Linked DNA regions of Sus scrofa. The protein of the gene in region 1 purifies or fractionates together with the protein of each later gene. This does not show direct contact. Links are inferred from orthologs where the notes say so. Each region holds a gene or a part of one and is shown in the gene's direction. Other genes may lie near its edges.

What was found.
Region 2: the proteins of SLC22A15 (region 1) and VAPA purify together in Homo sapiens (co-immunoprecipitation; 3 studies listed by BioGRID and IntAct, with this or other methods). This does not show direct contact. The link is inferred for Sus scrofa from reciprocal best matches to the Homo sapiens genes SLC22A15 and VAPA.
Region 3: the proteins of SLC22A15 (region 1) and VAPB purify together in Homo sapiens (co-immunoprecipitation; 3 studies listed by BioGRID and IntAct, with this or other methods). This does not show direct contact. The link is inferred for Sus scrofa from reciprocal best matches to the Homo sapiens genes SLC22A15 and VAPB.

The regions. Positions count from the first base shown.
Region 1 is NC_010446.5:104,752,868-104,756,795, reverse strand, and holds the start of SLC22A15 (solute carrier family 22 member 15), read left to right. Parts: upstream 1-1,128; 5' UTR 1,129-1,259; coding exon 1,260-1,346; exon of another isoform or gene 1,347-1,743; intron 1,744-3,928. UniProt on the Homo sapiens protein: Organic zwitterion/cation transporter with apparent specificity for amino acids and their derivatives. Has low affinity for its substrates and may regulate their flux across the plasma membrane at high substrate concentrations.
Region 2 is NC_010448.4:98,211,835-98,214,053, reverse strand, and holds the end of VAPA (vesicle-associated membrane protein-associated protein A), read left to right. Parts: intron 1-699; coding exon 700-858; 3' UTR 859-1,719; downstream 1,720-2,219. UniProt on the Homo sapiens protein: Endoplasmic reticulum (ER)-anchored protein that mediates the formation of contact sites between the ER and endosomes via interaction with FFAT motif-containing proteins such as STARD3 or WDR44.
Region 3 is NC_010459.5:58,640,536-58,642,979, forward strand, and holds part of VAPB (vesicle-associated membrane protein-associated protein B), read left to right. Parts: intron 1-476; coding exon 477-653; intron 654-2,444. UniProt on the Homo sapiens protein: Endoplasmic reticulum (ER)-anchored protein that mediates the formation of contact sites between the ER and endosomes via interaction with FFAT motif-containing proteins such as STARD3 or WDR44.

The DNA.
Region 1 (3,928 bases):
GTCTATCTCTCTCTCTCTCTCTCTCTCTCTCTCTCTCTCTATCTCTCTATCTCTGTAATAACAAGGCTCATCTTGCAAAATAAGCCAAGTCCAGATGGTTTCAACAGGTTTACCAGGGTTCCCTTGTGCCTCATAGGCTTGGGTTGCTGTGGCACAGGTTCCGTCTCTGGCCAGGGTAACTTCCACAGGCTGTGGTCAGAACCAAAAAGGAAAAAAAAAAAAAAAAAAAAAAAGGAGTTTTACCAAATACTTCCAACTCATTTTACTAAACTTCTATAATCTTACAGCCAAATCCAGACAAGAGCAGTTACAAGAAAATTAGAGGTCCTTCTCCCTCTCCTAGAGGTAAAATCCTGGATAAGGCATTATAGCTGTTCATCTCTTCTGTTAACTATTGTATTGAGGGCCACAGTCTGGACAGTGGACTACTATGCAGCTGTTAAAATCGACCTAAGCAGGTTCAGAAAAGTGGGGACTTAAAGCAGGCAACCAGCGTCCCTAGTTCCTGTTGCATCTTTTTCCATTTCCAGCCGGGCACACTGCTGTTTATCCTTCAATCACCTTGGCAGCCATCATGTCCTGTCCCACAAATTAATCTTTCAGTTTTTTTGTATTTCCTTCGTACCTCGTGCATATATCTATAACCAAATACATCTTATGGTTTTGCAAGGATTTGACTACCTGTGACCTGACCTCATAGGGTAGCACTGAGTAGCACTGGAAAAAAATGTTGAACACCACTCATCTCTGAAAGATCTAGAACCCATTCCCTCTCCCCTCATTAAACTGATTTGTACAAAAAAGCAAATAATGCTGAGCAGTCCCCAGGTCACCCAGCACTCATCGCCGAAGCCGGGGCCGTGGCAGCTGCCCTTTTCGTGTTTCTCCATCAGAGAGATGCCTAAGCTCGAGCCCACTTCCACTTCCTCTTTCCTTTAAGCGCCGCAGACACTCATCCTTCTCAGAAAAAAAAATCTTTAACAGGAAGCGCAGAGGCCCGGGTACCCGGCCTCCCGCCCCGGACTCGCAAGCCCGCGCGGCCCCCGGCCCCGCCCGCGCAGACGCGCGGCCCGCCGCCCCGCCCGCGCACCCACGCCGCGCCGGGCTGGGAGCCGGCGGGGCCGAGCCGGTGCCGGGCGCCGTGGGGCTCGCGCGCTGGGCCCGCCGCCGAGGGCCGCGCCGGAGCGGGGGCGGTAGAAGGGCAGGCCAGGGCCGGGCTCCTGCTGGCGGCGGGGCCGAGGCGGAGCGCGCGGCCCGCCATGGAGGTGGAGGAGGCGTTCCAGGCAGTGGGCGAGATGGGCATCTACCAGATGTACCTGTGCTTCCTGCTGGCGGTGCTGCTGCAGGTGAGTCCCCTGCCGCTCCGACGGTCCCCCATCCCCAGCTCCTGCCCGCCCGGCCTGGGGCGAGGCGTACCCCACCCCAACGCCGAAACGCCCCAACGCCCGGCCCGTACGCCGAGGCTCTGCAACCCGCCGAGGTGCGGAGAGCCTATCCAGCCTCCACTTCCACCCCGCGCGGGGGCGGCCCTGGGCGGGCGAGGCGTCTCGCGTTAGCCTGGGCCCCCGAAAGCCAAGGGCGCGGGCCCGCCTGTCAAGCTTTGTGCCTGCCCAAGCCTCAGATCCTTAGGCGCCTGCACCCCTCACCTCGGGTGTGGGTGTATATGTGGGAGGTACTTAAGCCGAAGAGCTGGTTAGTAAGAGATGCAAAATTCCATTGTTACCAGTCATACGCCGTGAATACGAAAGGGAATTTCTAACCTGTGGCACCGTCACCTTGGAATCTGGAACACAGAGAGGGCCCTGATCATTGGCTGACAAAAGGGCTGATCTAGAGCGGCCACCTTCAGCTCCGGGTATCTACTTACCTTCTTTTCCTGGATTTGAAGGTGCTTCCTATCCTGGGGACGTTCAATGCTTAGGGTTTATTTCTCTCTGGCTTAGGGTGGGCTGGGACATTCTGCCCAGAGCCTCCTTGGGCAGAGTCTTTTATATGTCGATAGTGCCATTTACAACGTGCGGTATAAAATGGAATCAGCTTCTTCCTTGTACAGAATTCTCAGAGACTCCGTGCACACCCCAGCCTAAAAATGTGGCTTCCATATGCTCAAGGTCGCTACAAACACACTTTGCCAGGCAAGAGTTACTCCTCCTTTGCCAGCTTAAATGGCCCAGTTGGCATCAATTCATTTATTCTAAAGGCCTTTCATTCACAAATGCTTTATTCGTATCTACCCTGCTAGCATAGCATTTCTGCTATGCGTGGGCCCTTTAACTCCTTCCTGCATTTAACAGTTTAACTAGTGCCTACTGCGTGCTTAGCAGGGACTGCAATCAAAGCCCTTTTCCTGTGAAGTTTGCCTTTCTGGTGGGGTCAGGTGAAGCAGGCAGGCAGTTAAATAATTACAGTTCACATGTGATGATAGTTTTTCTGAGGGAAGGGCAGGGTGGTATATGGACATAATTGCCAGTCCACCAGTTGCTTAAACCTTGTGCAAGTCAACTGCTTAACAGGAAGATGGGGGCCAGGGAGGTAAGGATAGACTAAGTGATTCTCTTTGCCATTACAATGTTTGAAAGTTAAAAAATAAATAAATAAATAAATTTAAAAAAAGAGGAATTCCCGTTGTGGCTCAGTGGTTAATGAATCCGACTAGGAACCATGAGGTTGTGGGTTCGATCCCTGGCCTCGCTCAGTGGGTTAAGGATCCGGCGTTGCCATGAGCTGTGGTGTAGGTTGCAGGTGTGGCTCGGATCCTGAGTTGCTGTGTCTCTGGTGTAGGCCGGCAGCTACAGCTCCGATTCGACCCCTAGCCTGGGAACCTCCATATGCCATGGGAGCGGCCCTAGAAAAGGCAAAAAGACCAAAAAAAAAAAAAAAATTGTTTAATAAAAGTTCAGTTGATTTCAACACCAGCCATAAGAATCATTCAAAACAACGCACTGATAGATGAAGTCTGTTCTTTCTCTAGCAAAACAAATTCTCAGTTCACAAATATGTAATATTCTGAAGTTCTTAAAGTGTGTGGTTTTAGCTCTAAGTGTACTCTCCTGTGGGGAAAGTATCTGTGCTAAATCACAGAAGAGTACTTAATGCAGAGAAAACAGAATTGTAACCATGATCCCTGATGTTCATATAGAATACTTTTTCTTTGCGAAAATTCTTTTCCTGTTCTAACCAAAATTTCAGCCACATGACTTCCTCTCTGAGTAATCCTTCCTCCTCATTCCTACACTCTGCCGCCTCTGTCATTTTCTCACTTGCCTCGCTAGGTATGCACTGGCATTTATAAGTTTGTTTTGAGTGGAGTGTGGCACTAAAAAAGGCCACAGTTCTGGGTTCAAGACCTGTTCAATTTCTGTCACTTACTTTTCCTTATGGTTGACCCAGTTGGTTAGAGTTTGGTACCACAGAGATCTAAACCCATGGCCTTGGCTGTTCATTGCACCCTGCCTGACACATGGTCAGTGTTCATCAGAGAAGAATTAGCTCTTAGAGTGTTGGGACTGAATGATTGACTGTTATCTTGTAGGTGTGAACTGGGGAGGTGCCCTGTAGCTGTGCTGATCCCCAAAGAGTAGATGCCCAGGTCCAGGCAGAAGTGAATTCTTCCCAGCTGTTAACTGGTTACGAGGACTCAAACTGCCAAATGGTCCTAAGGTCACCCAAAGCTATCCTGGATATGAGAGTCCAGTGCCCCAAGGACCATACTACCCGGTCTGCTATCGGACCTGGCTTAGACCAAGGGAGCTGGCCTGCAGGGTGAGGGTGCTGGAGCATCCCATCACGTAGTTGTGACATGTCACAGGATGCTTTCATCATTCTCGTGGGCCCTGTTTCCTCCAACAGAGGCAAAGTAAGAAACCTTCTTCAGAGTTGCCTCGAATGGAAGGAGGTTGGTGTTTGCTTTTAAACCAAAGCACTTGTT
Region 2 (2,219 bases), on another chromosome or scaffold:
CCCTCATCTGTTGTACTTGTAGTTGCCATTAACAAAGGATTTTGCATTTGCTCTGCAGTCCAGACCCTGTGCCGACCTCCTGCTTTGCATGGGGCACGTCAGAACACTACGTTTAAATATTGTCCTGAACTTCCCCCTTCTCCCAAACCCTTTCAGGTCCTATCTGTCCCCTGAACCTCTGCTGTGCGAGTGCCCTAACTCAGACTATCTGACCTAACTTTGTTTCTGGTAGTCTGTGGCTCAGGGCTAGGACAGGTGTAAGCAATGTCAAGCTACTGTGGGCCACTGGGAAATAACTGCATGCAGAGAATTCTTCAGTTGTGTTCATTTTAGTAGGATTTTTCCTTCTATGTAAATGTAACTGTAGCTGATATTTCAGTTTTTTGGGAGTATATTTCTTAGCTCCAGTTTTAAAAATCAGCATTATTGAGGTGTAATTTATATTCCATAAGGACACCTGTTGTGAGTATACAGCTCTGATTTTTAGTAAATTTATAGAATTGCACAGCCATCCCTGGAGCCCCCTTTTAGAACGTTTCTGTCCCCCTAGAAAGTTTTATTAGGCCAGCTAGCGGCTCATCCCTGTTGTCACCAAGCTGCATGCATCCTACTTTGCTTCCTTGTCTGTTCATTTGTAGCTCAGTCCTCTTATGCATATTCGTTTTTAAAACCTTTCTTTGTGCATATATTTTTTCCTAGGATGAAGGCTTAAGGCTCAGAAAGGTAGCACATTCGGAAAAACCTGGATCCACCTCAGCCGCGTCCTTCAGAGATAATGTCACCAGCCCTCTTCCTTCACTCCTTGTTGTAATTGCAGCCATTTTCATTGGATTCTTTCTAGGAAAATTCATCTTGTAGAGTGAAGCATGCAGAGTGCTATTTCTTTTTTTTTCTCCCGACCAGAAAAAGATTTGTTTACCTACCATCTCACTGGTAGTGTGGCCCACGGTGACCATTCTTTGTGTGTACAGCGTCATGTAGGCCTCGCCTTTAAAGGTCTCACGGTTAGAAATCAGTAAGAGCAGAGTGTTCGGCGCCTGGACAGAGTGTACGTGGCCAGACCATCACTAGCAGGTGTCAGTTGCACATTCAGTCCTTTATGAAATTCATAAATAAAAAATTGTTCTTTCTTTGTGGTTTTAATAAGAGTTCAAGAATTGTTCAGAGTCTTGTAAATGTTATTTTAATAATCCCTTTAAATTTTATCTGTTGCTGTTACCTCTTGAAATATGATTTATTTAGATTGCTAATCCCACTCATTCAGGAAATGCCAAGAGGTATTCTGTGGGGAAATGGTGCCTCTTACAGTGTAAATTTTCTCCTTTACCTTTGCTAATATCATGGCAGAATTTTTCTTATCCCTCGTGAGGCAGTTGTTGACTGAGTTTTTCACCCTTACAATCCTGTCCCATGGTATTTAACATAAAAATAATAAAACCGTTAACAGATTCTTGCTCGATAGCTTGTGTGTGTCTGTCATGTCATTAGATGGGATACCAGGGCGTGCGCTGTGGTGATTTGGGTTATAAAATGTGTAATTTATCTCACACTGAACCCTTTCATATATTACAGTATTTGCGGGGAAGAGTCCTCATTGTTTTAAGCAAAGGAATTGATAACATTTCAGGCCGCTTTTGGCATTTTGGAAGATCAAAATCCATTTGTCTTCGAGATAATATAAAATAAGCAATGAGAATAAAAGTGCTGTGATTTCAGTCAGTTTACGTGTCTGCTGCATGGCTCTGTTGTGTTTATTTTACTCTAGTCTTCATAGGTTCTTTCAGTATCTTCTCAAGAAAGCCTAATAATGCTTCTTGGTTCTAGTCACTGCTTTTTGACCAGCCTAATAATTCCTTTTATTTTAGAACATTTCATTGTAATAGTTAAAAGTGGTTTTTTTCCCTGTCCAGTTTGATACTCAAAAGTAAGTTTCCATTATGGAAATTTGTTATGACTTGAGCCTTGGGAATTCCTTTGTGAAAAATGACCCTATCCTTGCCCCTGTCAACCGTGTGGTATGTTTTCAGTGTAAATGCAACATTATGGGGTCTGGTGTACTTTCCTGCAATTAGTCTTTTATTTGGTTAATCTGTGCCAGCATAGAAAATTTTGGAACCAGAGAAGATAGAGTCACTTTTTCTGCTAAGTACAATGTAATATAAGTGAATTTTGATTTTTGAAAATTGGTGTTGGTTTTGTAAAAGATGCACTTACATCTG
Region 3 (2,444 bases), on another chromosome or scaffold:
GGCTGAGCTGTCATAGACACTGAGCTTGTGGCACCTGTACCCCACCTTCGAAGTTAGAAGTTCGTGAAAGAAATGGCCCTCAGCCTCCCACCCCCACGCAGCGTCCTGGGGTGTTGAGACCTTCGTGGCGACAGTGATTTGTGGCTAATAATTCCTGAGCTTGCACCGTTGCGGGATGCTGATTTCTGCATGGCAGGGGTTTGACGTGCAGTATGCCCAGCTCCTCTTCTCTTGCGCTGAAGTGTTAGTCTCAGCCGAGCTTCATTATTTGCCCTTGTCCATAATTTCTGGAGCCCAGTTGCTGAGATTATTAAGATACTAGGTAAAGCGATCCATTTTAAAAATAAATGTGACATTTTACAGTGTGGATGAAACCCTACCACGTGTGGTATTTGCTGAGAACTACTTTACTTTGCATAAAAAAGTCCTTTATTACATAGTTGGTGACACTCGGGCTTTCATTTATTTCTGAACAGCATGATGTAGAAATAAATAAAATTATATCCACAACTGCATCAAAGACAGAAACGCCAGTGGTGTCTAAAGCCCTGAGTTCCGCTCTGGACGACACCGAAGTGAAGAAGGTGATGGAAGAGTGTAAGCGGCTGCAGAGCGAGGTCCAGAGGCTGCGGGAGGAGAACAAGCAGTTGAAGGTACCCGTGTTTTGTTTCCTGATGTCTGCGGAGAAGGGGGCTCTTTCCCTCCGATCCTGGGCGGGGATGTTGACGCACCCCCGGATTTGTCGGGCGGTTTCGTGTTGGCACATTTCCCTCCAGGCGGCAATCTCCACTCCTTTCCTCGAGTTCTCAAAGGGTCCTGAGCACACCTCCACACACCCCCCAGTCAAGAGCCAGGGTCCCTTGAGCAGAGGCTTCTCGACTATTCAAACAGAAACACCCCCAATCCCTCCCACCCTCCGCTGCTGTAAGTTGAAATTTAATTCTGAGACTAAAAATAAGACAGCAGTGCTTATCTTGAATTCCCATCTTCAAACTCCATTCCATTCCCATTGGATGAGAAGCTTTTTAAAGAGGGTAAATCCCCTTGTGTAGTCTTTTTAACACAGTTTGCGTAGTTCGGATTTTTGAGGATTCTGAATCGGTTTAGGCAGTAGGGTGTTATCACACTGTTAACACAGTGATGAGATTGGAGGTGGGACGCTGTCACCATAAGGTGGGTGGAGATGGCGGGAGAGACCCGAGTCTCCAGCTGGTGGCCGTTGACCCGGCCGTTGGCGTTGGTGTTGGCGGGTCAGGTTGCCCTGGGTGGTGGAGGGGGGCCGGTGCACTTCTCTTGGCCTCGGAGGCTTTGCGTGTTGTGGAAACAGCTAGCCAGACTTGAACGAGCTGTGGCTCTTTCTTAGCCACACAGAGGCCCGGGAGCAGGCCTCTGCTCGCAGAGCACTTCTGAGGCCCCTTGCAGAGTGGGGAGTGGTAGGTCTGGTTCCCGCACACGTTAAAGAGAGCCCTGCTGCACAGCTCATCGCAGGGGCTTTGGTGGCAGCTTAAATCTTGGGGCCGATCCCTTCTCTCCATCTCGGTCACGTTCCGCATGACAGCAGGTACGTGGGATGAGTTCGTCTCAGCTGGCCCGGCCTTCTTTGGCTCTGACCGTGTGGCAGACGCGGGGGGCCGACGGTTTGGGGAGCTCCTCCCTCTTTGCAGTTATCGCCTCGTTTGGCCGCCCTTTGAGTGTGGAGTCAATTATGAGGCCGACACCCTACTTTCTGGCGAAAAATCTACGACACGCCTAGAGCTTCTCCTTGAATGTATTTCTCTTCAGAAACAGAGTTCTGTGCCATTTAAAGTGATAAATAGCTAGAAATAGCTTCTATATAAACCCAATGAAATAAATGCTGTATTTTGCTGTGTCCTTTTTTGGGGAGTTAATCAAACAGCACCAGTCCTTTATCACTGCGTACGCTCTTGGCTGTGCCCCACGAGCTGTGTATCTTTAATGTACTCTCAGACCAGTCTTGACGTTAGAAGATTCTTTATCTTGCCAAACACTGATTTCTTGTTTTGTGTTGTTTCATGCCCTCACTTGGCACATTTCTTGAGACCCTACTGGGTCCCCAGCACTGTGGATACAGACACGGGCGGGCCCTGCCCATAAGAGCACTCTATTGACCACAGACGCTGGCACTCACAACCCGTGTCATGAGGGGTCCCACAGAGTTGGCCTCAGGTGCCAGGGAGGGTCGGCGCGATGGCTGGCCGCCTGGGGTCTCCCGACCTTGCCGGCACGTGGTGAACGTGAGCCAAGTGAGGGAAGCAAAGAAAGTGCCCCCGCTGTGGAGGCTGCCAGGGAGGGAGTGGAGGGTGCCCTCTGGCCGGGAGGCCTCGGAGTGGGCCCTGCTGGGGAGTGACCAGGGAGAGCAGGGCTGTGCAGGGACCGGAACGTGGCAGGTGTCTGCTCTGTGTGTGAAGACGGGCGTGGCTTCT